Notamacropus eugenii: one gene and its partners. The protein of the gene in region 1 purifies or fractionates together with the protein of each later gene. This does not show direct contact. Links are inferred from orthologs where the notes say so. Each region holds a gene or a part of one and is shown on either strand. Other genes may lie near its edges. The genes, in order: SETD1A, BOD1L1 and CXXC1.

Region 1 (10,806 bases):
CATCAAACCCAAGTATTCTAGTTTTTAGGCCCTATAGCTCCCATAGGAGCCAGGCTTTCCATATTCCTAAAACAGACTGTAAATTCTCTGACTACAAGGACCATGTATTCCACCTGGCACAAGGCCTGACACACATAGTAGATATTCAATAAATGTTTTCTCAAAGAATAACAGCAGCAAACTCCTTAGCCTCAGATATTTTGCCTGGCATGTATTAGCTCCCAGACTTCAGTAGCTGAGGGAACCCCGGTATTGCCCCCTTCCAAACCTGCTGGAATAGGCAGAGTCCTGGGAATACGGGGTGCTGCCCCGGGAGGTATAAGGCGTCCCTTGAGAGGATTGTGGCGTGAACTGGCCATAGGAGGAGGGGGTGTCTTGCCGGCTACCGGAGTAAGTTGTGTCCTGAGAACAGGGTGTGCCATTTCCAGGTGTGACTGGCACAGAAGTGCTTGATGGGTAGGTTGAATCAGATGAAGGCCGGCGTCGAGATTCCGTCTTGAGAGAAAGGGAGAAAAGAAAGTTAGTGTATATTCACTGCACCCTCTTTGAATCAAGCACCTTCCCACTTATAAAAAGACCCGAGCACTTTTCCCCAGGCCCTTCCTACTCACATTCACTTTTATTCCTCACCTGGAAGTCCTTACTCATCAGTCTTTCCCTCTTCAATCTCTCAAATACCCTGAATCTAGTTCCCTCCAGGAGTCCAGGCATCTGTCTCCCAGAATTCAGATGACCCAACCCTAGGTAGTGTCAGCTTCTCACCGTCTCAGTGGGTATTGCAGGTCCTTGGAACTTCTCATTCAAGACTTTGCCATCTGTGGGCACTGTTTGGGGGGTATAGGAGCCATTGACAATCAGTTCATAGTATTTCATCCGTTGTTGCCCTGGAACAGGAATCAAAAAAGTCAGTCTAAACAAATGGAGGGTATTAGCCCATTCTCTGACAGTCCAGCTTCTCTCTCTAGCTTTAAATTCCCATCTCCACCCTCCCTTGGTCTTAGCACATGAAGTCAGTTTCTCTCACCCATCTCTAACTTTAGGATCTCAATTCTTCTTCCTTTCCCAAATTATCTAGATTTTTTTTTTTCCAAATAGGAACAGATCAGGATTGTAAGAGATAGGCAAGGGACATCACCTTTGATGTCAAGCTGGGCGTGGATGATATTGCCCATGACCGGGGTGTGATGGAGATGTTTTACAGTCTCTTTGGCACCCCGAGTGCTGGCAAAGAGCACTCGGGCTAGGCCTAGATGCTTTCGTGTTCGGGGGTGCAACAGGATCTCCACCTCTTCCACCTCTCCATACTTTCGGCACATGTCCTTCAGGAAGGTCTCCCGAACGTTGTCATTCAGCCGGGCAAAGGTCACTTCCTTCAGTGGGACCTGCCCGATGTAGAACTCGTCAAGCTGTGGAAGGAAAGCAGAAGCTGGGTCAGGATCCAGAGTCACCCTGGCATGAAATAGAGCCTTCAGGAAGATCTGCTCATGGACAAGAGGCAGAGCCATAGGACACTGAGCCTTGGTCTGTAGATTCATGTGTATGTGTTATGGGCAGGAGGGATAGGCAAGAGGGAACTCTATTGAACGCTAAGAGAGATGGCTAACAGAGAAGACTTGAATAAGATGATCTCATTGTACAAAATCGTAAAATCATGGTCCTAAACCTCCTCTGAAGTGAATGCAGGAACCAGAAAAATAAACCTCATAAAAAGCCATAGAAGAAGGACCAAGAGGAAAATCTTTACAAAGTCCAAAAACCTGAACACCCAGATGGGGAAAGATAAGACAGAGAAGTCCTATGAAAAGACACAGAACTTAGAGCTGGAAGTAACCTCATAGGTCATCTAGTCCAATACAACTCTGTAGGAATCCCCTCTACAATATCCTTGACAAGTGCTCATCTACCCGAGAAGAGTAGTTAAATAGAACTTATTCCCTTGTCTATACACTTTTGGACCATTCCAACAACTAGAATGATTATCAGAGGTACCTAGGAGGCAGAGTAGATAGAACACTGGGCTAGGAGTCAGGAAGACCTGAGTTTAACTCTGGCCTCAGACACTTACTAGCTGTAACACAGGGCAAATCACTTAATCTCTGTTTGTTTCTACTTCCTCAACCAAAAATGGGGATAGTAACAATACAGACCTCCCAGGATTGTTTTGAGGATCAAATGAAATAATATTTGCAATGGGATTAGCATGGGGCCTGGTCCATAGTAGGTGCTTAATAAATCCATCCTTCCTTCCTTCTCTTATTTAGACAAAATCTGCCTCTCCTAACTTCCCCTTCTGATTTGTAGTTACAGCTTGAGGCCACAAAACCTAAGAGCACATGAGAATGTAAATAGAGTACTCTGTAAACCTTGGAACACATATATTCTACTTGTTATTCCATGTAACAGTCCTTCAAATATTTAGAGACAGTGACTTTATCTGTTTCTACTTCATAGCCCCCAGTCCCAAGACTAAAACTCTATAGTTCCTTCAAATCTTGTATGTAATGGGCTCAAATTCCTTTAATATCCTCTAGAAAAGTTCCAGATAAATTAATGTCTTTCTAAAAATGTGGCAGCCAGAACTGAGCATATTATTGCAGACGTGATCTGACCAGGACAGAATACAGCGGGAACACAACCCCTCTCATTCAGGACATTGCTTCTATTTAATGCAGCCCAATTCAAATTAGCTCCTCATTTTGTGAGATCTGCAACTATGACAAGCATGCCAAGGAAGATCACAAGACTACATGAGAGTGCAACTTTTGGAACTCCAGAGTCTTTAATACCATCCCTATGATCTAAAGGTAGAGCTGCTACTACTTAGGATACCACATCATTTTTTATACAACACAAAACTCAGATTCAGAAATCACATGAACTAGATTTCTTTTCTGCTCTCATAGCTAAGTTCTCATCAGAATGTCAACCATCCCTTCCCCAAAGGCTAAGGCCACCTTCCTTAACTAAAAAACAACAGCTAATCATAACCTCTAAGGAAAGCCCACCTAGACTCAACCACAAAGTGAAATTATGAATTGCTAGGTCAGGACACTTCACTCAGTTATTCACAAATGCTATGTACAATTTGCTTGTTCAAAGACAAACTCCTTCCTTGGTTGCCTATGTGGATTTGCACATTTTCCTATAACTGTCACCCTCCATAAAAACTATCAGATCATGAAAGTAATGAAGACTTACCTTAAACTTAGGAACTGGGAGGGAAAGGTCTCTGTTTTTGGACCATGTGAGTCGTTGACGGGGATCTTGAAGCTTGCTAACAATCTTGTATCCTGCATCCTGGGATGAAAGAGATGGGAAGGCAATTTAATCACTTTGGGGGAAACAATTTAAAAACTTAGGCCCAGAGTTGGTTGAAATGTAGGACTTCTAACTTTCTGAAAAAAAACAGTGGGGTACAAAGAGCAGAAATTTTGGGAGACAGAAAATTATCTACCCAAGAACCTTGGGGGGAACAGTTGAGGCAAAATAACTCACATTGACACTGAAGTGAATCCCATCATAGCGGTAAACCTTCTGAGGGAGCCTGTGCAGTGCAGGGTCCACAATGAGTTTGTAGTTTCGCCACTGGAAGTTGGGGGGCTTTTGCCCATCTCCCCCTCCTTCCTGGTCCATCCTGGCTCATTTACACTATGAACAATTAAAGGAAGGGAGTAAGGCCCTGAACTTCCAGTCTTCTTTCATACTTATCTATACCCAGAGCCCTTCCAGGGCCCCAACCCATTCCCCATAGACAACCACAGTCCTTTCAAGGTACCACTTTATGCTCCACAAACACAGACCTCTTTACCCCAAGTGCCTCAGATATACTTGCCCCCAAACACATCCCTGTGCCCCCACAGCTTCCTTTCACCCGCAGTCTTCTGCCACCTGTACATGTCCAACCTTCACCCCATACACACTGCAGAAAGCCCTACCTCCATGGCATCCTTCCCCCGTGCCTCCCTCCTGCAAGTCCCTTTGCCCCCGCACCCAATCCTTCTTCCCTACTCATGCCCTTTACAGCCCCCCCTTTCATACGTATTTCTCTCAGGGCAACTTCCCCCCACTGATAACCCCTCCCCGCCTGCCAATTCGTCCCCACAGCCTGCTCCCCCAAACACATCCTGTCCTCACACATGCTCCCCCCAAGCCCTCCCTCTCCTCACCTCCCCTCCCTCCAGACGCGGCCTCCAGGAGCCCCTTCCCGAGCCCCGCCACACGCCCCCCAGGCCTCCTGAGGTGCCGGGCACCCGCGCCTTCCCCATCGCCGGCGGCCCCGGGACACCGCTTCGCTCCCACTCGCAGAGGGACCCGGACCTGGGAAGCCCTCCCTCAGCCCCCCCGCCCCCCGCCCGGCCCCTCCCCCCCAGCCGGAGGCGCGCCCCTCCCAAGCCCCGCCCCCTCCGCCTGTCTCCTCACCGGCGGCCAGCCAGGGCCGGTGCCCCGCTCTCCGGCCCCCCCTGCCCCTCCACCCCAGCTCCCCGGGGCCCAGGGACCCTGCGGCCCCGAGCCAGGAAGGTGGAACCTTCCTCCGGGGCCGCGGCGGGGCTCCGGAAACGCCGCGAGACCCTCCGGGCCGGCCCGGCCCGGGCCCGGGCCCCGGCGGGGGAGGAGGCAGCGCGCGCGGCACTTCCCTCTCCTCGCGCACCCCCGCGAGCCGCCCCCTCCCCACCCGCGCGCGCAGTCCCCTCCCCGCCGAGCGCGCGCGCGCACCGCATTCTGCACTCACCCGCTCGGGGCGAGCGAGTCGCTCCCTCCCCTTCCCTTCCCCACCTCGCTCCACCTCCGCGGCGGCGCGAGACCCGGGCCCCGCAGCGGCAGCGGCGGCGGCGGCGCCCCCACCACCACCTCCCTCCTCCCCGGCGCGCGCACCAAACACCACCGCCACCTGCGCGAGGCCCGGCGGGCTCTGCGTTCACCGGAGCACATTCGACACGGGCGCCTCCGGGACTCTGGCGGGTGGCAGAGGAGCGCTTCCACCTCTTTCTTCCCTCCGAGCCGCACGGGAAGAAGCAGTGGGGGAAGCCGGCAGGCCGGCCGCATCCCTCGAAGAGCGGACCTCACCAACACTCTCTCCTTGCCCGGTTCTGGACGTGTGACGAATCTGCAACTGCTGAAGCGGCGCCGAGTCCCCGAGGAAAAGGGGGCGGGGCGCACGGGCGGAGGCCGGGCCGGGGATGAGCAGGAGAGGTTAGCTCGTCCGGCAGCCGCAGATTCGCCGGAGGTGAATCGGCGGTAGCGGAACTTGCGCTACTTCCTGCATCGGTCTGGCTGGGAAGAGTAGAAATTCCGGATTCGCAGATTCGCCACAGGCCCCGGCTGCTGGCTTCGTTCGGGGTGCCCGGTCTACATCGGAAAAGCAACGCCAGTGTTAGCGTATGGCCACTCGGCTCCCTAACAGTAGTCCAGTTTGGCCTCTCATCCTTGGTTGGCGTTTCTCGCAAATATCACTAAATTTTCCTACTTTGGCATTAGGCACAGAAGATGGATCCAAACGGACCCGACTTTGAATTAAAGGGCTGGGTCGGAGCGATCCGAAATAGGCTTGTCATCGGAGGGACGAATCTGCAGATCACCGTCCCGGTGCTTGACAGGAATGCGAATCTGCGAGCGGGAACCCGACAGCTAGCGGGAGGGGCGGGGCTTGATAGGAGGCGGGGCGAAGGGCTGCGGCGGGGGCGGGGCTGGGAGTGAAGGGGTGGGCTTCTTCCCAAGTCCCAAGTCGAGCCCCAAAGCTACCTCTCCCCACGTGGCCATTACCGCGGTGCTTTTGACAGGAGTTGCTGGAACTGGCACCGGCGGCGACCTTGAACAAATGTGACAGCTTCTCCGAGCCTCAGGGTTATCTGTGACATGGGGATTATCCACGGCACACCTGGTGGGGCCAGGACGGAGAAAACCGCTCGCTGTGGTCCCAGCGTGCAGACATTATCCGGCTGGGAACACCGGCGTCCGGAGGCGAATGCCTTGACCAAGCATCTCCCTAACCTCCCCTCTCAAAGGATGGAGGCTAGATGATCTCTGAATCCCATGACCTTTTGGGGGCAAAGCGAGGAACAGTGGTGGGATGGCCTCTTGCTTCGGAGGACAGACTGAAAAAGTTTAGGATCTAGAGGAAATGCAATAAAACCTTGGGGGATGGGAAGGGTTGGAGCACCCTGCCCCCATCCTCTGCCAAAAAGGTCTGGAAATACTTTCCTGAACTGTCAATTCTCTGTTCCCAGTTTCTAGATGAAAAGTCCATTACAGACTCCTTTAAGACCCTATGACAGTCCCCCTTCCTAAGCCTCTTGGCATTTATTTGCATGGTCAGGGATTAGGAAATCAGGAGGGGGGGCGTGTTACAGTTCCCCTGGACAGAGAAGGAAGAAGCCACTCTGGCCCCAAGAGATGTCAGAGAATGTGCTAAGATGGGACTGTGCTGGCAGCAAAGGGAGGTACCTAAGACCATTATGTCTGGAGTCCTTGCCCCAGGCTGCATTCCCATGTGTTGGCAGGGCCCTGCTGGTGAGGTCAGTCATTACCCACCACATACCCGGTGAACCCAACCCTTCATCTCCAATAGCTACTTTTTTTTGGTAGCCCACCCATTCATCCCCCACTCCCATCTCCACACTCCTCAGCTTGGCCCACTCAGAGCTTAATCTTTTCTGCTCCTCTCTGAGCCCTGGCACAGCTTGCTATTAGTTTTCAAGACAAGTTTCTATCTTCGTAAATCTGGAAGCTTCCCTCTATGGCACAACCTGCCTAGACTTCTGCTCTCTCCAAGTAACAGCAACCCCTTGGATCTTTACTCCACTTCATCCCCTCCCATCAAGGCACACTCCATTCCTGGAACCCAGACCCCAGTTCCTCAGCCTCTGCCCTCATTGTAGTACTCTACCCTTGCTCTTCAATAACCAGGAATAAATGATCCCATCTGTTGTTCTTCCCTTCCAAGATACAGAGGGCCACCCCTACTCTACCCTCCACAGCCACGGTAATGTGTTTCAAACAAGGTTTATTGTACAAAAAAAAAAAAAGATGCAGTGAAAATTCAATGTCAGAGTTGATCCACCATAATTACAGAGGAGGGATCCCTAGGGTGCTCAGCGTGAGGCAAAGCCTATGTGGGGGTATGATTGGACAGGACCTTCTGCATGGAAGCCTGTTCCTCCTTTAGCAGCCCCTCTCCCCTGTTCCTACCCTGGTCAGGAGGAGGAAAAGATGGAACTTTGAGAGGGACAGGTGATGTTGGCACAAAGACCATGAAAAAAACGCTTTTTGAAGGTAAGGCATCAGAGCCACAGGGCAGTACTTACAATAAAAAGGTCCTTCAATTTGGAGGCAATGTTGTGTGACCTATCCCTAGGGCTCCTAAGAACTTGGAAACAAAATGCAGAAGTTGTAGGTTGGCACTGGAGAACCTACCCAAGTGGAAAGGTGACTGACAATTCCAAGGGGTGGGGAGGGAGTGTAGGGAGACAAGTCTTAGACCCTAAGGAGAACTTATCTCCATTCCATGGCCTTGGAGTTCTAGAGGTAGGACTAAGATTGAATTTGGGGCAATCCTTAAACAGCATGCTTGGGGGGTTTCTTTAGAAAAGTCAGCTCTGGCTTGAGAATTCCTCCAGGAAGCATAAATCTATTGGAGAGAACCTAGGAAATGGGAGGAGCTAACTAACGCTTTAGGTGCTACCAAAATGGGCATAGCTGCCACCAATAAGTTGTCCATGATATGAGAACCATCACAGTCAAATGGATATTTTTCCAAAGAGGATGCCTGTGTGAGGAGGGCCTCAGAATACGCCAAGCCCTATCACTATAGGCTATATGGAAAAGGGAAGGCAAGGGAACTAGGGCTCCCTTAAAGGCCAGCCTGACCTGATGCCCCTCCCCCATTCTCAGGGCTACCCGAGTGAGTTGTTCCACTTTGTTTTGGGTGGTGTGGGGCTCCTCCTCTCAGCCTAGGGCTCCTGGGTCAGGCTGCCAGGGGCCTTCTTCCTGGGCCTACCTTGGGGACACCCTGTAGTTCTGTTGCTGGGGCCCCTTCCAATCTGTGGCTGTGTGAGAGCTGCAGTTCCATCTTCCATTTGTTTCTTCCCAAGGCCCTGTTCCTTCCCTCACTCCCATTTCACACAGCCTGAAGTTCTCCCTGGAGGCGGCTCAGCTCTTCCAGCTCCTGTTGATGTCGGTCCGTTTTATGAGTGACCAGAGATCGGTAAAAATGGAGGGCAAAGGCAACAAAAACCAGGCCCACGGGTACCATGATCACTGTTGAGGCCATTGCGGCATGCCACCCAGGCCCATGTGGTGAGGCTACTGGCCCCTCGCACCTCTGTGAGCAGCTCACAGCCGAGGGCCCAACCCTGGGTGGTGTTTCTGAGACTGAGGTCACAGTTGGGGGATTCAAGGGGACCACTGACTCTGTCAGGGATAGTCCTGGACTTGGGCCCATGGAGGTTGGTGCATCAGGTAAAGGGCTCTCTGGACCTCTTGCAGTCAAGGAGGAAGGGATCTCGGGCACAGGAGCCACCGCAGGCCCCCCAATGGGCATGAACTTCACCCAGCCAACCAAGACCACTTCGGCTAGGAAGAGGAAAGTGCCCAAGGCTGTGGAAAACCCCCAGGCCAGCTCCACATAGCGGTGGAGTCGCTGATGGGGAGACTGGTGGACAGAATTGAGGTTGTGAATGTTGCTGACGGCCTCAATGTGGGGCAGCAGGCAGGTGGATACCATGAGGGCGAAGAGGTGGACGGCCACCAGCACTGTGGTACAGGCACTAAAAGCCACCAGCAGCCCCGGGGGGTAGTCGTGGTTGGTCTCTAGTTGGACCTCCACCATGGCCACCTGGAGAGGAGAGTCAGGGGTTCAAGGACCTGGTTTCTAACTCCCAAACCTTCCCACCTGGACCCAGCTGGTAGACTTTACTCCCTTCATAGAACCTTAGCTTTCTAGCTATATTCCCTCTTTGGATTTAATAGGGTTTACCCAATTACTCTAGAGCTTGATGGAAGGGGAAGGAGAGGGAAGGAGGGCAAGGAGCCAGGTAAGGAGGTAGGAAAAATGTAGGGGGAGGGGAATACTTTGGACCCAGTTATTTTAGGAAATTGGGACACAGCAGATGGCAACAGGTGCTGCTCAAAGCTAGGGATCTGGGCCAGTCTCATCAGAGAAAATGCAACCAGAAGTCCTCCCCCTTCTCTGTGATGATCATCCCAGCACCCTGCTCCCATTTCCCTGGTCTCACATCCTCTTACCCAGCCCCTCTTTTCCATTAAAATTTTAGTAAGCAGCCTTCCAGACTAGAACTCACTCTCTACCCTGGGCTACATTTCCCCTACTGAACTCAGGCATCAGTTCTCCAGCCCTTACAGGAGGGCCTGGCCCCTTAAGCCGTCACCTCAGCAACATGGCAGCAGAGTGAACTGTCTCCCTAGGAACAAGTTTGGGTCTTAGGGCTAAGATTTGCTTTAGCCTTGTGTTATAGGCCTTCCTACAGGGGTGCCCTATTCTCTGGGGTTAATAACATCCTCCACTATCCACATTTTTACCCTTCATTCAGTAACTACTACTCTCCTTAGCAGGCCAAGATTTTCTTTTCCCCCAATACCACCTCCTAGGTTGCCTTGGTCCTCAAAAATTCATCCTGGTCTTTCCCTGAAGAGAGAGAAACATGGAGTGGGGAGAGGTGGGAAGGGAATGGGACAGGGAATGTATGTGTAGTTTGGCCTTTCCCTACCTTTCTCCCCCATACACACTTTTCACCCCTTCAGAGACATAATCTTGCCAACCTCCCCCCCTCCATTTTATGTAAGGAGATTGAGGCCCAGGGAGGTAAAAGTCACTTATGAATGAATGGCAGAGCTCAGACAAGCAGTTAGGTTTGATAACTCCCTGTTCCCTTTCTTTCATCAGGATGACACTGCCATATAAATCTTACTCCATCAAGTTCCGAAGTTCCCCATCTCACTCCTGGCCTGGTGGAAAGGATTCTATACTGGTCTTTTAATCTGGAGATTTGCATTCTAACCACTAATTCACTGGGTGACCTTGGGCCAAGTCACTTCTCTACAACTTCAGTGTCCCCAACTGTAAAATGAAGGTGTGTGATTAGATAATTTCTAAGGTCCCCTGTAGCTCTAAAACTCTGCCATCCTGTACTCCTTATTACTTAATCAGTTATCACCCTCTGGATCTGCATTCCAAAGCTTTCTCACCGGATCTTTCTCTTCTCAAATAGCTTCAAACTCTCTAAGCTCAGGGCATCCTCACCCTGTGGCGCTGTTCTCACCCCACAGAAATTACTGCTTGACTGTAAGTCAGACCAGCATTCAGTTATTCTCAGCTGTGGATTTGCTCCCTTCTGCCTGCACATACGGATTCCGACTCTTAACATGCAGGGTTGGCAGCCTTTGGGGCACCTACCACCAGGAGCCCCCTTGTCCCCCCCATCCAGCATTAGCCTAAGGCTCCTTCCTAGCCTTCCCCTTACCTCCTTCCTCACCGCTCCATCCCCAACGATCCCTTACCCCACTGTCTCAGAAAACAACCTCCTCACCATGGCAAAACCGGACAGCAAGGCAGACGTTCGGCTGGAGGCCTTCAGTTTGGCCCGGCTGAGGTAGAGGCGCCGCCAGCTAAGGGCCCGCAGTGAGTGCTGGCTGGCTCCCATGAGGTCCAGGTAGCCTCGATGCACAAAGTCCCGGTAGGTGGCTGAGCCTCCGGGGCTCTCTCCAGCCTCGGGGTTAAGGGGGGCCTGTTCTCCTGCATCCCCCTCTCCTCCTTTCATCCTGGAGAGTCCAGGAAAATGGGGAGGGGGGAAG
Region 2 (10,090 bases), on another chromosome or scaffold:
TACACCTATTGCAAACAGTTGCATGATTTAATGCCTGTCCATCTGATGAAAGAAAAATGCTATGAATAGGAGTTGGGGTAGTGCCGTTTTGGGTGGAAGGAGTAGAGCTGGAGCAATAGGGGGCAGTGAGATTTATGGAGGGGAACATACTCTAGCCACTGACCAATCTACTTAACTTGTATTTCATTTTTTTCACTCATTCCATTATTCAACAAACATTTATTATGTACTTAACCTGTGAAGTGCCCAGTGCCAAGTACTTAGAGAAATACAAAGTATAAATATGCTGATTCCTTCCCTCAAAGAGTTGTCTGCCGATTACAATGCTAAGCACCAAGTAGGCATTCAAAAGATGCTTATGTTAACACTCACGCAAATTCATTTCATGTCAGATAGAAACATTTTGCTAATAAGAAACCCACTTTTTGGTTTTAATTGTACCATATATTTCCTCTGTCAAAATATGTTCTCTTCAAAGAAACTGCCATGTGAGACATTCAAAGTCCCATCCAACCAAGCCAGTTTAGTGCTTCCGCTGTGTTGTTTATTAACCCTTCCTTTCTAATCATGGCCCTTTATTCATGTCAGAAAACTGCTGATAAGCAAACGTAAAAATGTATATATCCAGGGAAACCATACCTAAACCCATAAAGGTAGCACTGACAGCTTCAAACTGAACTATATTCTAGAAGCATCATGAAGCCTAAAGCAATTGCTTTCCTATGATTGATTTACTCCATGACTTTTTTAAAAGCTTATATGTAAATATAACCCTTTGCTTCTCCTGGTAATGACACCATTTTCAGGAATGTTGCATCTCTTTGGAAGTAATCAATTCACATTCATATAAAAGTTGTTGCTTTTTAAAAAATCATGATGAAAACAGAGGTGAAATGCAAAATAAAATAAAATAAAAATAAAAAAAAAAACAAAACCCAATATAAATAATGTTAATTTGTGGGTTTTGAAGTCAATATGCTGAATTGAATCCATCCCCCACAGGGATCAATTTCTGTTTGAGTTTGACACCACTGATGGTAAAGAACTTTTTTTCCCTAAAACCAGCTCTTTCTGAAGTGTACCTTCATTACAGTTTTTAAAAAAATTTTTTAAAGTACGTGTTTCATTTCAAGGTTTCTACTATCCCTCACCCCCATGCTATACAGAAAAACATACTTGCTCTAAATGGGCAATAATTAACAAAATGGGAGATTGTGCTGCTTAATGACTTATAACAAATCTAACCTATGATCTGGGATAGCTGCTAGAAGGGGGAAGTCAACCTTAAAAGCAAATCAGTTTGGAAAAGACAATGCTACCAAGGCATAATGATGAGAAAACTCATTTAGAGAGTGCTTCAAGGCTTACAGAAGCACTTTCCTTCTAATTCTGTGAGGTGGTGAAAATATTATTTCTATTTTATTTTTACTGAAGTTCTGAGATTTGTGTACTTTCCAACAATGATAATAGCCGTTTATATAGCCCTTACTATGTCCCAGGCACTTTACAATTATTAATTCATTTTGGCCTCACAACAACCCTGGAAGGCAGATGACATTATTATCCCCATTTTACAGATGAGAAAACTGAGGCAAACAGAGGGGAAGTGACTTACCCAGGGTAACACGGCTAGTGTCTGAGATTGAACTTGAACTCAGATCTTCCTGACTCCAGGGCCACCTCTATCCACTTAGATTGCTAGGCCAAGCATGAACCCTGAGGAAAGGCTGGTTGGGGCAAGGCCAGAAGTCTTCCTTCACTAAGATGATGTCAAGCTGATATTCAACCCTGGTCTCTTGACTCAAAGTGAAACGTACTTTCTAACACATCACGCTATTGGTTTTGTGACACAACATTATGGCAAATTTTGATAGTACAATCAGAAACCAGAAAATCTCAGTATCACTTCAAAGAAAATTCATACTCAGATGGAGAAATGGGGAATGCAGAGCATAATAGAGAGAAGTAGTAACATACTTATTTCATGCACCCACTTTCAGAGGTCCTTAAAAGAATATTGAAGATCTTTAACAGAAACAATTAATATACTCAATCCATTATCCTTCCTTGGAAACATCCTGTTTTCAAAAGATGTTTTAAATCTTTCATTAAAAGTATGGTAACATAAAGACTTCCTAGAAGATGGCAGAGTACAGAGAAGCCAAGGGAATTGGCTTTGTCCTTACAGATCCTTAAAGACGTGAAACTGAGGCCCAGTACCCTCACTCTTCCACCAAAAAAGATGAGGAAAAAAAATAGAAAAGTGTGTGTGGGGGAATCCTTGAGAAAATAAAGGAAAAACCAAGCAAGTCTACAAAGGCTACCCCTGAGCATCCCTGCCCCACTGCCCTAGCTTGTGTAAACTCACCAACCTGAGAAGTTCCTCCAGCTCCCTGATCTCAAATCCCAGGTGAGCATCTTCTGTGTTCCTCTACTAGGGGTGGTCTTGAACTTTAGAGGGTCACGTGGTGTGAAGTTGTAAGCGTGTCCATAAAGGGAGCAATGACCTTCCCAGCCTGATTTAGCTATTTTTCTCTGCCTCACTAATGGGGCCATCCCCTAACTACTTCTTAAATAGGTCTATCCAATGAACGAGCATTACCTCACCCTAAGTGAGTACTGAATATGCCTTGACCTAAAGGGGCCAAAGTCTCCCATTGCATCCTGGGTCATCTCCAGTCATCCTAATGAATATCTGGTCACTGGATTCAGATGGCTCTGGAGAAGTGAGGCTAGTGACCTGCACAGCCCTCCCTCACTCATAACAAAGTCAAGTGCAAGTCATGGTCTTCTTTGGCAAAGGACGAACACAACTAGGGGTGGGGAACCTGCAGGCTCAAGGCCACATGTGGCCCTCTAGGACATCAAGTGTGGCCCTTTGACCGAATCCAAATTTCATACAACAAATCCCTTTAATAAAATTTGTTCTGTAAAACTTGAACTCAGTCAAAACGTTTACACCCAAGGACCTAGAAGGCCACAGGTTCCCCACCCCTCTGGAAACCAACTCCAATATCTTCCAATGCCTCCAGAATAAAATATCAAGGCCTCTGCTTTGCTTTTAAGGCCCTACACAAACTGACCCAATCTACCTTTACAGGCTGATTGGATAGTACTCCCACACTCTGCAAAACAGTAAAACTGACCTCTCTGCCCCTCACACCCCACACTAGCTCCCAAGTCTGTGCTTTTGGACCTGCTGTTCCTTACACCTAAAATGCATTTTCTCCTTTCTCAGAGTCTCTTCTTCTAAGTTCAAGTACCATTTTCTGCACCAAGCCTTTTCTGGTTCCCTGTCCCCAATTGCCAGTCCCCTCCCTCCCAAACTACATTGTATTTAGCTGTTATCTATCTGCATATTTTACATATATTTGTATTTGTGAACTTCATATTTATGCTACGTGGATATGTTCTTCTTATTTAAGAAATTTGAATGTAAGTTCAAATAATGATCATTTCTTTTTTTTGCACTTGCATCTATAGCATGTAGGTGCTTAAAAAATATTTTTTTGATTGATATTAAGCCCCTACCATGTGCCAGGTACTGGACTAGGTACTGGAGATAAAGAATCATTACTTCCATTCTAATGACATGACCAACACAACACAAATTTGTTTGGTTTCATTACATTTATTAAAAAGAGGACTTGGTGGGGAGGGGCAAGGGAATGATGATTTTTAAAAAGAGCATTAATAAAACATGAACAAATATTTAACAGAAAATAGAATAAAATTCAAAAGGGAACTCAGTCAAGCTTGGCAATGCTGGTACTACCCCAATAAATTTGACAGATTTTTTTAAACTATGCGTAAAGTTCATATTTACTACCTTTTTGGCTTTTGTAGGTGGAAATGTTTATGTCTGTTGGTAGTTTTCTAGTTCCTTTCTTGTCGCATAGAATTTCAAGTTATTGTCAAACCATTTAAAATGTAATTCTAAATCTGTCATTTTGGTAAAAATCATTTTAATATTTTTGTTTTAAGAACTCCTATTTTACCAGCTACAAAATTCTTCCCTAAAGTATATTAAGATGTAATACATTGTGAAGCACATAATGAAACCATTTTGTCCTTTGTTTTTAAAGTGTTTTGTCACAAGCAATACAATTTACCTAACGCATAAGGACCCCCATCTCCCAGTGACTATGGGGTCACCCTTGCCTCGTCTCTCTCCCTCTCCTCTCCTGGGCAATCAATCGCCAAGTCCTGTGCACTGTTTCCCATTTGCACCAGGTGGCTGGGCACACGGAGCGGCGGGATGCCCCCTCAAATCCTCGTTAGCGGTGGGACCCTCGGGCGAGTCATTCTGTAAAGCGGGGCTACTATCAGAGCTGCTGCCAGGGCCAGGGCCACATGAGGGGAGAGTCGTGAGGGGCACAGCGCTAGCACTCCGTGCCAGGGATGATGACGGCTTATCGGGGTCCCCAGGTGTAAAGGGGGCATCCTAGCTGCAAGGGCCTCCCGGGGGGGGGAGGTTAAGGGCACAGGTCGGCGCCACCCACGGCCCCCTCTCAGGTGCGAACTCTCCGCAGGCGCTCGGTTCGGTCCCGGCCCCCGGCCCCAACCCCCAGACTGCGGACCGGCCCCCTCATGGTCAGGCCTCTCCGCCGGCCACTGCTTGTTGGATGGAACCCCCAAAATGCTTCAGCCTGGAGCTCGGGAACCCCCCTCACCCTTGCAGGCTTCTCGAACTCCATTCTGCTTCGGTTCCTGCCAGGCAGGGTGTTAGCGGGCCCTGCCGGCCCGCTCCTCGGCCTTGGCACGTGGGGGGCCGACCCCGAGTCCCAGAATCCTCCTCTTCCTTCCCGTCCCTCCCCCGGGAAGCCTGCCCTGACCCCCCGCTTCTTCACCAAGGGGAGCATTAAACGCCCGCTCGAGGCAGGTACATAATTTCTCGGGGCTCTCCCGCTCCTCGATTACTCACCGCACCCCCTCTTCTCTCCCTCTCCCTCCCCCCACGGCACGGCCGCTCCTGGAGGCCGTCCTAGAGCGTAGCCACGCTTTTGTCCCGGGGTGGCCCGCGCCTGGCCCTGCTCCCTACACACAAACATGGAAGTTGGGAGGACGGGCAGATCGGGGTTTGGGGGTTTATCGGGATCCTCCCCAGCCGCCGATCGCGACCCGAACAGAGCGGACACGCGAAGAGCCGTAGGTGCCCCACGGCCCCGCCCCTCCGGGGACTGGCCTAGGCATATGACCGTCCAGAGCGCCGAGGCGGAATTGTGCCTTCCTGGCCACCGTCGCTATCACCGCCCCTTTCGCTTCCCCCCCTCCGCGTTCCCTTTCACTTCCGGGGTCGTGCTGAGGCCGCTGGTTTAGTAACAACATCCCGTTGGCGGCCGGGACTAAGCGGCGGCGGCGGTGGCGGCAACGGGAGCTTCTCCAAAAGGTCCCTAGTGTGGGCCTTGCCCGTCGGCTTCCTCGCCGACTCTCCTCAGGCTCGAAGTCCCTTCCCGGGCCGGGCCGAGCCAAGCCGGGCTGGGAGTGAGGTGAGGTGAGGGGTGAGGTGAGGTGGGGAGCCCGGCCCCCGTCGCCATGGCCAGTAACTCGCAGCCCCAGCAGCCGCCGGCGCCGCCGCCTCCTCCGCCCCAGCCCCAGCCGCCGCCGCCGCCCGGCCCGGGCCCGGGAGCCGCGACCGGAGCTGCAAGCGGCCCGGGCCCGGGAAGCGGGAGCGGGGCTGCAGCCGCCGGCGGTGGCGGCGGCGGCGGCGGCGGCGGAAAAGCCGCCGGTGGAGGAGGTGGAGGCGGAGGCGGAGGCGGCGGCAGCGCGGGAGACCCTCAGCTCGTAGCCATGATTGTCAATCACCTCAAGAGTCAGGGGCTCTTCGACCAGTTCCGCAGGGACTGCCTGGCCGACGTGGACACCAAGGTGCGGGCCGCGGGGGGCGCCCGGAGAGCGGCGGGGCTGGAGGGAACGGGGTGGGCCCGGCCGTCGGGGCCCGGCGCGGACGCAGGGCCGCAGCTGCCCCGGAGGCAGTCCCGGAGGTCGCTGGGGGGAGGGAGGCCGCCGGGGGTGTGGAGGGGGGAAGCCCCAGCTCGAGTGGAAGTTGAGGTGAAGGGGGGGACGGCGCGGCGCCGATCGGGGAGTGGGTGCGTGGGAGACGCCTGGCGGACCCTGAAGCGCTCCGAGTGTGAACTGCTGTAGTTGTGGCTGTGGAGTTAGATTGGGTTCTTAATCCGCAGGGTCCGGGTGTGTGTGTGTCCGGGACGGGAGGGGTGAGGGTGGGGACAGGCAGGGGGGCTGGATAGTTCACTGGGGCCAGGACCTGAGAGACCATTTCCAGAGGTCTCCACACAGGCTCTGCTTAATCCTTCGCGTTCCCTTTCCGAAAAGAAAAAGCATCAGGTCAAGTCCGTGGGATTAGAGAGGACGTCGTTACACTGAAATACAGCTGGGGAACCCCGGGTGAGGAACTGCCTCCTTTTGCCGGCGGCTGAAACAGTGACTTGCCCAAGATGGGATAGCCCCGGAGTCATGCTGCTGAGGCTAGGTTTCCTAACCGCGGGTTCCTTGTGCTTTGTAGAGCAGGGATTCCTGAATTGAGGTTAATATTTTGATAACTGTATGTCCATGTAATTGATTTTCTTGGTAACCCTACATGTTTTTCTTACACATTTAAAAACAATGAGTCCGTGGGTTTCACCAGATGACAAGAGGAGGTCGTGACAAAAAAAAAAAAAAAAAAGCAAGAACAAAGAGATTGAGACCCCCCTGTTTGAGAGCATTGGATATTTTGGTCCACCAAGGAGAACATTTTTGTTAATGCTCAAAAAAATTTGTGGCTGTTAAGAAGGGCGGTTTTGGCTTTTTATCTTACAGTTTGGGAATGAGATTGTTCCCAAGGCACCTTGAGTTTTTTGGTTTTGTTTTTCTAAATAAATTTTTTTTTAGAGCTCAGCTAGTTGTGTGAATCTCTTTTTTACCTGTTGCCCAGAGTAATTGGGCTGATTTCCCAACTCCACAGTCCAATCCTGGGAAAGCTCCTATTAAAAATCCCAGGAAGGCTTTCCTACTTAAGAATTACGATAATGGGTCTGCCATCTTTGGTAAATTACATTTCCAAAATAGAACGTGTCTTCAAAGTTTTTCTAAAGCTCATCTAAAATATAAGAGGCAGCCTGGTGGTGTGGATAGAGTGCCAGTCTTGGAGTCAGGAAGACCTGGGTTCAAATCCTAAGTTTGACACATGCTGGCGATGTGACCTTGGGTAAGTCACTTGTTGATCCCCATTTATAGAGTGAATTTCCAGACCAGCATTTCCTGTTTTGTACATTAATGAAATCACAGGTCCAGATTAAAAAAAAAAATAGAAATCTTTGAGACTTCTCATCTCCTCTGTTGCTGCCACTAAGCTGGTACTAAGCTCTCATTGACTCATGCCCATCACCTTGCCCTTAAGTCTCTAGTCACTCCAGTCCATCCTCTACTTAGCTGTCAAAGTGATCTTAAGGTTCAGGTCTGTCTGTGTCACTCTGCCACCACCATCCCATCCACCACCTCCATGATCTGACTTCTACAGCCCTTTATAACGTGATCCTGTCCTACCTTTCCAGGCATCTTCTACCTTTTGCCCTTCCTTGCACTGCACAGTTCAGTAACAGTGGTCTTGTCGTTCCTCAGACAAGATACTCCATTTCTATACTCTGTGCATTTTCCCTTGCTGTACTTTATGCTTGAAATTCTCTCCCATCTTATCTCCATCCTTTGGCTTGCCTGGCTTTTTTCAAAATCGAGCTTAAATCCCACTTTGTTCAAAAAGTTTTTAAGGCCTTCCTTTCTGTGATTACCTCCAACTTTGCTTGTACAGGTCTTATTTGTACGTAGTCGCTCCTATGTTGTCTCCCCCATTAGTTGTGAGCTCCTTTTGCCTTTCTCTGTATCCCCCACTGCTTAGCACAGTGCCTGGCACATAGTAGATGCTTAATAAATATATCTTGACTTGAAAAATGAGCTTTTTTTTTTTTTAAGTCATTGTCAAGGTAGTCCCTAAATAATTTTCTTCCATTCTTTGTTCCCTCTTGCCATTTTGTGGCCATCTCATTCGAAGTATAGATTCCTTACCCCTGCTCAGGAAGTTTTTCTAAAATTTCATTATGTGAACACATTCATATAATCTTTAGTGAGCACAGCAGCAGGAGAGATGCTTGTAACTCTAAGCTATCACATTCAATTCAGCATGCACACCAGTAAAAGAAGTTTTATTTTATTTTAGTCCTATTGTTCATACACTCTGGTCCATTCAGACTGCCTTCTTGCTGTCCCTCACACAGGACTCTCCATCTTCTGTCTCAGGGCTTTTGTATGGGCTGTCCCCCATATTTTCAATGTACTTCCTCCTCACTTCTTAGAAACTTGAGTTTCCATCACAGCTCAACTCATTACATTCCACATGAAACTTCTGCTGAACCACTCCCAAGCTGCTAGTGCCTTACCCTCAAAATTATTTCATATCTAGATTTTATATGTTTAACATATGTCCATTCAGTAACCTGTATTAGAATGTAAACTGCATCCCCAATGCCTAATACAGTGTCTGTCACATAGGAAGCATTTAACAAATGCTTGTTGGTTAATTTCAACAAGCATTTATTAAATATTTATGTGTGGAGAAATGTTCTAGGACCAGCATTTACACTGAGTTGCAAGAAAGACAAGTACAGACTGAGGTGTAAATGTAGGTTCTAACTGTAACTGTTTGAACTGTTCTAGAGGCCTAAAGATTGTCTTACTTAAGAAGGCTAATTTGGGGGCTTTGGTAATGCTTTTATGCTAAGAGAGACATTCTCATTTTCTCTAATTCAACCTTCTTTTCCTCCTTCACATGCCTCAGATGAACTAAAACCCTAGACATCCTTTGAAACCAACCTATCTTGTGTGGAAGATCCTACTGTGATTCAGAATTGAACTGGGTTCTAATGGAGATACGTACACTTAACAAGACCCACATTGCTTGGATGGTTCTAATATTTCAATTATTGGTATTTGGCATGGATAATGATGCTAATTTGTAGGAGAAATCAACCCACTCCAGATTCTTTTGGCTGAGATAGCCCAGTGACCAAGGAATGGTGTGGAATGGCACTCCTGTGAAGTAGAATAAACTTTTTGACACGTTTAATAATTAAATCAGGTCCCTCCTCCATGTGATTATAGTCTAGTTTTGACAGATTAGACAGTAATGTCAAGGAAGAAGAGAAATATTGAAAGGGAATTACTACCAACATCTTTTAAGTTTAAAACAAGCAGTAGTTAAACAAAGAAAGAATACATTTATTTAAAAAAACAAACACGTGATGCCATTGATTGAATTCCTTCCATTTGGGCAGCAAGTTAGGACAGTGAGGTAGCTTTGGACCAACTTTCTACTGAAAGTAAGAATTGGAAAAGGACATGTTAGTTCAAAGTTGAACGAAGGAAATGTTGTTAGGACTGGAGGGAGAAAAAAGTTTAAATTTGCTCCCAAAGCTAATTTGAAATAGTGGGCATGATTGAAACTACTATTCAGCAATGGAAATGAAGCATTTTGAATTGAGTGGAGTAGAGTTTTGCAGTATGGTATAGATAAAAAAAATTTTACGTCAGCTGAAGATACTGAAAAGGAAGGAGATGACTTTTAGAGTTGCATGGATTTGAATTATCAGAAGAAATCTTTTCTCCTTGGGAGGAGTGGTAGTGACATAAAAATTGTGATAGTGATTTGATGGGTGTTTCTTGTGCAGAAACTTTTCACTGAGGAAAATTGACAGATATTTTGAACTTAAAGTTAGAGAGTTACCTGTTAACAGCAAGTCAACTCCAGTCACTAGCTAATTTGTGTCAGAGGAAGGACCTGAACCCAGATAATCTTGACCCCAAAAATGGCCCTCTATCTATTTCTCCATGTTACCTCACAAAAATAGGAGTAAATTAGGGAAATAAAAGAGAATTATATAAGGATAAAAAAAAAATTCATACTGAATTTTAAGCAGATATCATACATCTGAAAGCTAGCTAAATAGAATTTCAATGAAAGAAATTAATAGAAAAGACCCATTGATTAGCCAGGTTGAATGATTAGCCCAACATGATGTTGGGAAAATGATAAGTGCCT
Region 3 (10,628 bases), on another chromosome or scaffold:
TCTGTGGAGATAGATAGTATCTTCCTTCATGGGTCTTTTGTCGTTGATTTGAGTATTTATAATTAACTCAAAATGATTTAGTCATTCAGAGTTGTTCTTGGAACAATATCGCTGTTACTGTGTATAACATTCTCTTGGTTCTGCCCATTTTACTCTTCGTTATTTCATGGAAATCTTTCTATGTTTTTCTAAAATCCATCAGCTCTTCATTTTTTAAAAATAGTATTTTATTTTTTCCAATTACATTTTCAATAACAAAGGCAATTGTTAACATTAATTTTTTAAATAAAATTTTCAGTTCCAAATTTCCTCCCTCCCTCCCTTCCTAAGACAGTAAGCAATTTGATATAGGTTATATATCTGCAATCATGTGAAATATATTTCTATATTTGTCATGTTGTATAAGAAGAAACAGACCAAAAGGGAAAAAAACACATAAAAAGTGAAAATAGTCTGTTTCTATCTGCATTCAGACTCCATCGGGTCTTTCTCTGGATGTGGATAGCATTTTCCATCAGAAGTCCTTTGGAATTGTCTTGGACTGTTGTATTGCTGAAAAGAACTAAGTCAATCGTAATGGATCATGGCACGTTAGCTCATCATTTCTTATGCAACAGTAGTATCCCATTAGTCATTCCTCAATTGTTGGACATTCCCCCAATTTCCAGTTCTTTGCCACCACAAAGAGAGCTGCTATCAATATCTTAGAACATATAGGTTCTTTTCTTTTTCACTTTGGAAAAACAGGCCTAATGGTGGTATTGTTATGTCAAAGGGTATAGACAGTTTTTGGACATAATTCCAGATTGCTCTCCAAAATGGTTGAACTAGTTTGCAGATCCACCAACAGTGGATTAGTGCCCCATTTTTCCACATCCCCTCCAACATGTTTTGCTTTCCCCTTCTCTCATTTTAGTCAATCTAATAGGTACAGAATGATATCTCAAAGTTGTTTTGGCTTGAATTTCTCTAATCAATAATGATTTGGGGCATTTTTCATATGATTATACATAGTTTTAATTTCTTCATCGAAAAACTGCCTGTTTCAATTTGGAACTATGCCCAAAGGGCTATAAAAATGAAACGTGCATACCCTTTGACCCAGCAATACCACTTCTAGGGATGCATCCCAAAGAGATCATAAAAATGGGAGAAGGGTCCCACATGTACAAAAATATTTATAGAAGCTCTTTTTGTGGTGGCCAAGAACTGGACATTGAGGGGATGCCCATCCATTGGGGAATGGCTGAACAAGTTGTGGTAGATGAATGTAATGGAATACTACTGTGCTATGAGAAATGATGAAGAGGCCGACTTCAGAAAAACCTGGGAGGACTTACAGGAACTGATGCTGAGTGAAGCAAGCAGTCAGGAGAACACTGTACACAGTAACAGCCAGTGTGTGATGACTGACTTTGATAGACTTAGCTCTTCTCAGCAGTGCAAGGATCTAAGACAGCTCCAAAAGACTCATGATGGGAATGCTGTCCACATCAGGAGAAAGGACCATGGAGTCTGAATGCAGAGCAAAGCAGACTATTTACTCTGTTTTGTTTTGGTTGCTGTTTTCTTTCTCATGGTTCCTCCCATTGGTTCCAATTCTTCAATACAGCATGACTAATGTGAAAATATATATAATAGGAATGTATACGTAGAGCCTATATTGGATTACACACTGTCTTGGGAAGGGGGAGAGGGGAGAAAATTTAGAACTCAAAATCTTGTGGAAGTAAATTTTGAAAATTAAAAATAAACTAATTAATTAAAAAAGGAAAAGAAAAACTGCCTGTTCATATTCTTTGGCCATTTATCAATTAGGTAATGACTCATACTCTCATAAATTTGATAAAATATTTGAGACATGAGACCTTTATCTGAGAAACTGTCTATAAAATTTTCCCACAATTTTCTGCATTTGTTCTGATCTTGTTTACTTTGGTTTTATTTGTATGAAACTTTTAATTTAATGTAATCAAAATTATCCATTTTGTACATTCACAATGCTCTCTATTCCTTGTTTCTTCATGAATTGTTCTCCTACGCCTAGGTCTCATAGGTGATGTGTTCCATGTTTTTCTAGTTGTCTTTACATCTAGGTCATTGTATCCATTTTGACCTTATCTTGGTAAATTATGCAAGTCTGTAGGATAGTGGTCTCTGCCCCATTTCAGCCAGACTGCTTTCCAGCTTTCCCAACAATTTTTACCAAATCATGAATTCTTCTGCCCAAATCTTGGGTCTTTACACTTGTCCAATAGAAGCTTATGATGTTGACTTGCTGCTTTCAACTGCATGTCTTCTGTATTCCAACTTCTTAGCCAGTACCAGAACATTTGGATAATGACTGCCTGATTCTACAGTTGGTGATCAGTACTGCTGAGCCTCCTTTTCCCCAACATTTTCATCAGTTCCTTTGGTATTCTGACATGGGTTTTGTTTGTGCCCCCTCCACTCTCCCTCTGTGTGGATGCATGTCTCTCCTTTGGGGTCTGCATGTCTCTGTCTTATCTCTCAGACTTGGTCTCTGTGTTTTGCTGTCTTTCTCTGGCTCAGCCTCTGTGCCTATGTATGTCTTTTTGTGTTAGTGTTTCTGCATGTGTGTGCGTTTGTGTGTGTTTGGGTCTCTCTCTGGCCCAGCCTCCTAAGGTCCTTCCCACCCTGACCTACAGCTTTCTAACATTTCCCCTGCCAGGCTGAAGATGGAGCTGGAAGCTGGTGGTCAAGGTGGTATCACAGGGCCCAGGGGGAGCCCCACTGCGGGAGCTTCTGAAGTCGTCAGTGGTGTAGTTGCAGAGGGGGCCCTAGCGGAGGTAAGGACCCCAGAGTCGCCAGCATTGGTTACTCAGTAGCCTGGAAAAGAGAAAGGAAGGGAGACAGCCATGCATAAGGATGTTACTAGAACTTTGTTCCAAGGAGATCCTTAGCCACTTTTTTGGTCTTTAGCCTGTTGTAGAGCCCCCAACAGCCTGGGAGAAGGAACTGAATATTGACCACAGCCCAGGGAAACATCCTACTGGGCAAGCCTCAGTCTTGTCCTAGAACCTCACAGGGAGTTCACCCATTTGCACCAGGAGGGAGCTGCAGCCTGGTCTGAACCTAGCTTGGAGAGACAGTGTTTGGTCCTTTGGCCCCATCTCAACCATGGGGGACCGTCTGGTATACTCTTTGGAATAAAGAACTCTGTTCTGTTCCCTTTCTCTGGCTGTATTTCTATCCCCCATCCCCCATCCCCCATCTTGTCCTAATGACTTCCTTTTCTTCTTAGGTGGGGTTTGAGCACTCTGTGGGCCCCCATCTCCCAGATCTATATAGTTCTGTAGTATCTCTGGAGCCTCCTTGGTCCATGCCTCCTATATGCCAGGTCTGGACTCATCCTATTTTACAGTGTCTCACACTTGGACCCAGAGCTCTGGTCTAGTCTTCCCACTCTTTTCCTCCTGTAGTGGGGCTATGGCCTCCTCTTAACTCTGACCTTGCTCAAGACCCCAGGACAAAGAACTGGTATATCCAGGCAAAGTTTGAAAATACACCCCTCGGAAGTCTGGATAATGTGAAAATAAAGGATATCCATATCCATATATAGTAATATATCTATATGCATACATATATATTTTTAAAAGAAAATGACACCCCTTTATATGTTCCTGTCTACCAAGGTAATCTTGTAGCTCTTATCATACAAGACATATGCAACACAAAATAAATAATTATACATTATGACATTATGAAAAGCAATATTAAAAAGTAGCACCGTTTGCTTCCTTACTGCATCTTGTACCCTATATAGCAACTTTGCCTTCCTCTGTTTCTAACTCTGATCATAAATTCAACCTCAATAACCCTAATTTTTTATCATCTGACTTTTTATTTCACTATCAAACACAATCCCAGTCCATCCTGATTTTCCATCAGCATTCTATCCACTAATCAAACTGCCAAACTCTTCTCTAATGCCAGTCCCAATTGTCAATTCCTCAATTTTCTCTCCAAGTCCACTCTGTGCTTGGAGAGTTCCCTGCCTACTTCTTTCTCATGACCTTGAGGACTTTCTTGTCAAAGCGCTCTTTAGGTATCTGCAGGAACTTGGTAACATCAGTTGTCCACTGGATCTGACTGGAAGTGATGCCCATCTGGAAATCAGTGGGATGGGAGGGAAGGCTCAGAAGCCCTAAATTCCAATTTCTAGACAACCCTCTCCCCCAGCTTAGCTCTAAATCTTCCTCTCCTATGGTGTAGTGGGATTATACTGGGACTGAAATCCCACTAATGAATTCTAACTGATTGAGTGGACTGGAAGTTCGATCTAAATTCTAATCCTGGCTCTGTCATAACCTTAGCAAGTTAAGTCTCCTTCCTGGGCCTAAGTTTTCTCCTATCTTGGATGAGATCAGAAGCCTATTTCCTCATTTTAACTCACCCTGTTTCCCCTCCATTCCCAAGGGGCCTGGATGTTAAACCAGGTTTCCCTGGCATGGCCACTGGCCCACTTATCCCACTTGTTAAGGAAGTTTTTGATGGCAACGCAGTGGTGGCTGTTTCAGAGCATTCCCCTCAGAGCGTTCATCTCAAGTTGCACATTCCACAGCACAAGAGCGTAGCCTAGACAAGGGAGTGAACAGAGGCTCAGCAGAGCATGAGGAGGAGATGTGTGCCTAGGTCTGAGGAAGGGAACAGAAGTTGGGGACAAGGAGAGGGGAGCAGGAGCCAGAGCTTGAAGACAAGTCCCCAAGGCAAGAGGAATCTTAAAAGGAACAGAAAACAGCATGCCTGCATCTGTGAGGGAAATGGAAGCTGAGAGAGAAGGGTGTCTATACCTCAAGAAAACCCCAGGACTGAAGAAGAGGCTAAGTGTGGGGGGATCCATGAAGAGAAGCCCCACTTACCTTAGTAGGCCCTTCCAAAAGCATGGTGTGGGGAAAATCAATATATTCTTCATCACCTGAGAACATTCAGTCAGCTTCCCACTTGCTGCTGACCACCCATCTGTGAAAAAGAGAGGCCATCATCTCCTGTCTTCTCTTTTTTCTTTCTTTGTCTTCCCAGCAATTAGAAGGGTGCTTGGCACATAGTAGGTGCTTAATCAATGTTCACTGACTGGCTACCTCTCACCCAAACCATTGGAATTGCTTCTAAAGTGCTGTCACTGCTTCCAGTCTCTTCTTCCTTCAAATAGCTGCCAAAATCAGCCTCCTGATTCTTAGGTATGTCCATGGCATTAGTGATTCCTCACTGTGTAGGGAACAAAACACAAACCTGATTCCAGCACGTGAATCTCTTCAATCTCCCTTGTGCACTTTGCTAGGTACTCCTCCTCCTGATGCCCTCTAGGCATAAGCCCAGCTGTGGGCTCTTCTCTATCCTGTTTTTGTCTTGGCCTTGCCTCCTGCTGTACTTTTGCTTGGTTTGTCTCTCAATGTCAGGAGTAGAGCTCTCGTAGCAGTCCCTGTAAAAGTGGAACCCGATGCTTTAGGTAGTACCCTTTCCTTAGGGGTTCTCAGAGGCTGGTGGCGGAAGGGATTTTTGTTCATGTAATGGCTGATCAAGAAGAGATCAGTGTGGCAAGTTAGGTGGCGCTGCAGGTGGCTCTGCAGTCAGGAAGACCTCAGACACCTACTTACTGGCTGTGTGACACTGGACGAGTCATTTGGCCCTGTCGGCCTCAGTTTCGGCATCTGTAAAATGAGCTGGAGAAGGAAATGGCAAATGACTGCAGTATCTTTGCCATGAAAACCCCCAATGGGGTCACGAAGAGTTGGACATGATAGAGCAAAAGCAATAGCATGGGCTGATCTAGAGGCCCACGAAGGTCGTTCGGGCTGCCCTTCCTGCCCACTTGCCCATCAGGTCGGGCTCTTGGGGCGTAGCTGGTAACGTCTTTCACTTTCACTGCTCACTTCCCTTTGGTGGCACTTGGGCCTCAAGAACTTCGTGCGCTCGGGAAAGGGCAGGGGCGGGTTGGGTGGCGGGATCACGGCCCCAAGAGCCGGAAAAGCTCCAGGAAGGCAAAAAGCCAACCCAAGCTTCCCCCACCCCCACTCCCCCCCCCGGGGCCCAAGGCCGCCAACGCGCCTGCGTCCTAGCCCGGCCGCCGTCATGCTCCCTTCACCTCCCAGAACCCGGAACCTTGGCCCGGGCGGGCCTCCCTCCGCCCAGCAGTTCCTAGGCAGTGCGCCTGCGCGCCTCCGGGCCGCCGAGGCAAGGCAGCATTGAGCCTGCGCACGCACGGCTACGAGGCCTCGGAGGGCTGAAAGAACCGGAAGCGGAAGTGGGTCCGAGGACAACTCTCGCTCGGAGAGGCTCCCGTTGTTGTCTCGAAGGAGTCTCGAAATCCCGGCGCCGCCATGGTGAGAACGAGGGGCGGAGCCGGCCCGGGGCAATCCCGGGGGGCAGCCCGGGGGAGGAGGCTGAGCGGGTCCGGGACGAGCCCGGGGGCCTTCCTGCAGGACGAGGTGGCTGGGGGGCCCCACTTGGGTGGCTTTGGGCGCCGTCCGGGGAGGAGGGGCACCCCGGGGAGCACGGAAGGGGCGGGGGCATTCCTCAGTCTGGGGGGACATCCGCGGAGAGGGGCGGGGCGGGCAGGGAAGGAGGGACTTGGCGGGGGGGGGGGGGGGGGGGGGCGCAGCAACCATGGCCGCCGCCCGCAGCAGCCCAGGTCCTGCGATCGCCCCCCAGCAAAGAGGCTAGGAGAGGCCTCCCGGAAGGTCGTGGAGTTTAGGAACGGAGGGCCTGGAGGCCTCCCTGGAGGAGAAGGAAGGGAGGGGCAGTGACTGGGAAGCAGTTCAAGCCGCCCGAAGGTGGAGGCGGAAGGGGAAGGTCTAAGGTCACCCCGGGCGGACTCCAGGGCTGAGGAGGCGGGGGCGGGGAAGAGATTTCCGGAGAAAAATTGTAGACCTGGCTCGGGGTTCGGGACGAGGTGGGAACGTGAGACCTAGAGGAAAAGACCGAACTGAGGAGGGAAGACTGAGTCAGGGCCGAGCCTGGGCGGGGCATGGAGGAGAAGGGAGGAGGGGAGGGGTCTGGGAAGTGGGCGGGGGCAAGAAGACTGAGGGATTCCCTCTGCTTTTGTGACCTTACAGGAGAGTGAGTTTTCAGACCCAGAGCCTGGGGCCACCGGCGGGGAAGAATCTAAGTCGGACATCGGGGAGAATGCGCCCATTTACTGTGTTTGCCGGAAGCCCGATATCAACTGCTTCATGATGTGAGAACACCCGTTGTAGGGTGTAGGTGGGTGGGCTCAGTCTGGGGAGCTCTCTGGAGGAGGAGTCAGGTTTGATTGGCCATCAGGAGGGCTCCTCCAAGCAGGACCGCAGGGCTCGGCTCCCCAAAAGAGCTTTTGCACTGGGGAAAAGAGGAGCATTTATGGAGATCCTCCTTCAGAGAGCAGGTCTCAGGTTCCCATGTGTCAGACTTAACTTCCAGAGAAGCCTTGTAGCTGAATGCACTGGAAAGGGGCCCCTAGCTTTCCAAGCCTCACACACATCTCAGATTCTTTGCTTCTGTCCCTTGTGCAGTGGCTGTGACAGTTGCAATGAGTGGTTCCATGGTGACTGCATCAAGATCACAGAGAAGATGGCAAAGGCCATCCGGGAGTGGTACTGCCTGCAGTGCCGGGGTGAGTCTTGGGGGGTGGAGCCTGGGGGTTATGGGGGCCCATTTAGGGGGAATCTTGGCTAGCAACAGAGGGATCCCTCAATCTATGCCCATTTCCCGGACAGAAAAAGACCCAAAGCTGGAGATCCGATACCGGCATAAAAAACCATGCCGTGAGCGTGATGGGGAACCCGAGACTGAGCCCAGGGACGACGCGACCACCCCAAAGAGGAAGGTTGCCTCAGATCTCCTTGTAGAGACTGTGGGAAGTGGGCCCATGACCATCCCCAAGGGCTTCACCTCTCCCCACAAGGCCCCACCTCCCTCAGCCCCTGGGCCTGGACGAGAGGTATCCAACCAGGTGAGCTTGGAGAGAAGTTTGACACTTGGAAATAGAGTTGTAAAATCTAGGGCTTATACCAGGAGGAGGGAACTTTGAGTTGGAAAAGAATATGGGGTCCCAGGGTTTTATGGTATATCCTTCTTTATTGTAGGGCATTTATGATGATAAAAGATCTTCTTAGAACAGTGCTAATCCTAGGAGTGTCTCTCCCCCATGTTCTGTCCTCCCCTACTGTATTCCCCCCAACAGCAGATCAAACGGTCAGCCCGCATGTGTGGGGAGTGTGAGGCCTGCCGACGGACAGAGGACTGTGGTCACTGTGACTTCTGCCGTGACATGAAGAAGTTTGGGGGCCCCAACAAAATCCGCCAGAAGTGCCGTCTACGGCAATGCCAGCTCCGAGCCCGGGTGAGAGAGCACAAGGTGGCTCTAGAAGGTTTGGGCCTAGCTGACCCCCACCTAACCCACACCTCCCCTTTACCTCCCGCACGCTTCTCTTTTCTCTTTTTCTAGGAATCCTATAAGTATTTCCCTTCCTCGGTGAGTCTGGCATCAGCTGTGGTGAGTGTTGGGGTTAGGACTGGAAAACATTCCTCTTCTTTGGGGTACTGCCCTTCCAATAACCCCAAGTCCAGGAACCATGTTGGGGGAGGGGCAGCTTGGCCCATTTAGGGGGCAGTTGCTAGAATTGCTAATTCCTGCAGACCATTCTGTATCCCCTGTTCACTTCCCTCTTCCCCACAGTATATTAGAAGGAGCCCCAGGCAAGGATCAGGCAGCTCAGGCCCTTTCCCCTCTCTGGGCCTCCCTTCCCTCCCATTAAGAGCATTGATCTAAGGGATTGCCTCCTGGTTCTGCAATCTCCTGGGCTGCCCACCTACAGCACCCGCTGCTTCCTCCATAGCAGAAACTTCTTCGGGCACGGGAAGAACATTTCCAGATGTTAAAGGAGCCCCCAGAGGCCGTGGCCACCCCTGAAGCCCTCTCTGATGAGGATCTGCCTCTGGACCCTGAGCTCTATCAGGACTTCTGTGCTGGCGCCTTCGATGACCATACTTTGGTGAGGGGCTGGGCCCTGTTCCTTCTTGTGCAGATTAGACTGGGCCTCTGGAAAGCCCCTTCACGTAGGTCCTTTATCTGTTTTCTCTGCTTAGAACCTTGGAGTGTCTTCTCCAGCATGAGGTAGCATGAAATACGGACTGGGTGCTAGATTTGGGGTGTAAGCATGTGGGTCGGAAGTCTTGGGATCTTTAGGCAAGTTATTTCACCTGGGGCAAGTAATAAGATTGGATTTCTACAGCCTCCAAGGTCTATTCCAACTCTCAATTTAGAATTTTATGTATTCAAGGGGAGAGAAAGGACACTCTTTTTTTGTCGTGGCTCGGAGCCTGTAGTGGTTAGACAGTATTCCCCAAAGGGCCAATCAGTGCCTTTCTGCTGGCTCCTTCTCAACCTGGTCAGAGCAGAGGGGTGATGGGCTCAGTGGCCTATGCCTTCCTGCTCCCAGCCATGGTTGAGTGACCCTGAGGATGCACCTTTCCTGGACCCAGTACTTCGGAAACGTGCAGTGAAAGTAAAACATGTCAAGCGGCGGGAGAAGAAGTCAGAGAAAAAAGTGAGTAGCAGGAGAGGCGGTAGTGGTGGGCAGTGGGGAACTGTCCAGAGGCTCACCAGCTTCCCCCTCCCGCCCCAGAAGGAGGAGAAATATAAGCGTCACCGGCAGAAGCAGAGGCACAAAGAGAAGTGGAAACACATTGAACGCCCAGATGCCAAAGACCCAGCCTCCTTGCCCCAGTGTCTGGGCCCCAGCTGTGTCCAGGCTGCCCAGCCAGGCTCCAAGTACTGCTCTGATGACTGTGGCATGAAGCTGGCTGCCAAGTGAGGATGCCATCCCCCCATCTCTTGCCCACATTACATGAGGCCTGACTTCTTTCCCCATTTTGTCCCACTCCTGCTCTTCTACTAGCAGAAAGCTATAGCTAGTGTGGCTCCTGGGGAGGACTCCAGAGACCAACTGCCCTCTGGGATCCCTTCCCATGCATATCTTGCCCTCTTTCCCTGGCAGTCGTATCTATGAGATCCTACCCCAGCGAATCCAGCAGTGGCAGCAAAGCCCATGTATCGCAGAAGAACATGGAAAGAAGCTTCTGGAACGGATCCGAAGGGAACAGCAGGGGGCTCGGATGCGCCTGCAGGACATGGAACGTCGCTTTCACGAGCTGGAGGCTGTCATCCTCAGGGCCAAGCAACAAGTGGTACGCGAGGATGAGGAGGTGAGGAGGCCAGGTTGTGGGGAGCCCCTGGGAAAGGAGGTGGTACTCACAGTCTCACTTTGGGGCTCCATGGTTCCCTGTTTGTAGAGCAATGAGGGAGACAGCGAGGATACGGACCTGCAGATCTTCTGCGTCTCCTGTGGCCATCCTATCAACCCCAAGGTGGCATTGAGGCATATGGAGCGCTGCTATGCCAAGGTGCCTAGCCCCTCAGCAACTTGGGGAAGTTCCTTAGGAGGGTAGCATCCACTGGGGTGGGGCAGGCCAGAAGGGGTAGTCCATGTCCTTTGGAGGGCAGGGTCCAGGTTGGTTTGGCCTGAGGAATGGGGGAGTGACTGACCTGTGCAGGGGGGACAAGGGTTGGGGGAGAGATAACGACTGCCCTCAGAACAGTGGGGATGGGCCACGCTGCCCTTCACAAA

What was found.
Region 2: the proteins of SETD1A (region 1) and BOD1L1 purify together in Homo sapiens (affinity purification with mass spectrometry; 3 studies listed by BioGRID and IntAct, with this or other methods). This does not show direct contact. The link is inferred for Notamacropus eugenii from reciprocal best matches to the Homo sapiens genes SETD1A and BOD1L1.
Region 3: the proteins of SETD1A (region 1) and CXXC1 purify together in Homo sapiens (affinity purification with western blotting; 16 studies listed by BioGRID and IntAct, counting the BioPlex papers as one, with this or other methods). This does not show direct contact. The link is inferred for Notamacropus eugenii from reciprocal best matches to the Homo sapiens genes SETD1A and CXXC1.

The regions. Positions count from the first base shown.
Region 1 is NC_092874.1:377,753,901-377,764,706, forward strand, and holds the start of SETD1A (histone-lysine N-methyltransferase SETD1A), read right to left. Parts: upstream 4,982-10,806; 5' UTR 4,889-4,981; intron 4,867-4,888; exon of another isoform or gene 4,730-4,866; intron 4,506-4,729; exon of another isoform or gene 4,420-4,505; intron 3,941-4,419; exon of another isoform or gene 3,649-3,940; 5' UTR 3,634-3,648; coding exon 3,496-3,633; intron 3,298-3,495; coding exon 3,199-3,297; intron 1,407-3,198; coding exon 1,136-1,406; intron 885-1,135; coding exon 763-884; intron 496-762; coding exon 269-495; intron 1-268. Other genes in the region: ORAI3 (protein orai-3), read right to left, coding at 8,114-8,830, 10,542-10,772. UniProt on the Homo sapiens protein: Histone methyltransferase that catalyzes methyl group transfer from S-adenosyl-L-methionine to the epsilon-amino group of 'Lys-4' of histone H3 (H3K4) via a non-processive mechanism.
Region 2 is NC_092877.1:66,180,086-66,190,175, reverse strand, and holds the start of BOD1L1 (biorientation of chromosomes in cell division protein 1-like 1), read left to right. Parts: upstream 1-5,506; 5' UTR 5,507-5,535; coding exon 5,536-5,868; intron 5,869-10,090. UniProt on the Homo sapiens protein: Component of the fork protection machinery required to protect stalled/damaged replication forks from uncontrolled DNA2-dependent resection.
Region 3 is NC_092879.1:101,927,531-101,938,158, forward strand, and holds the start of CXXC1 (CXXC-type zinc finger protein 1), read left to right. Parts: upstream 1-6,248; 5' UTR 6,249-6,341; coding exon 6,342-6,449; intron 6,450-6,586; exon of another isoform or gene 6,587-6,794; intron 6,795-6,806; exon of another isoform or gene 6,807-6,913; intron 6,914-7,076; coding exon 7,077-7,198; intron 7,199-7,511; coding exon 7,512-7,612; intron 7,613-7,715; coding exon 7,716-7,951; intron 7,952-8,182; coding exon 8,183-8,341; intron 8,342-8,446; coding exon 8,447-8,494; intron 8,495-8,837; coding exon 8,838-8,993; intron 8,994-9,440; coding exon 9,441-9,811; intron 9,812-9,998; coding exon 9,999-10,206; intron 10,207-10,293; coding exon 10,294-10,404; intron 10,405-10,628. Other genes in the region: synaptonemal complex central element protein 1-like, read left to right, coding at 2,693-2,810, 2,944-3,039. UniProt on the Homo sapiens protein: Transcriptional activator that exhibits a unique DNA binding specificity for CpG unmethylated motifs with a preference for CpGG.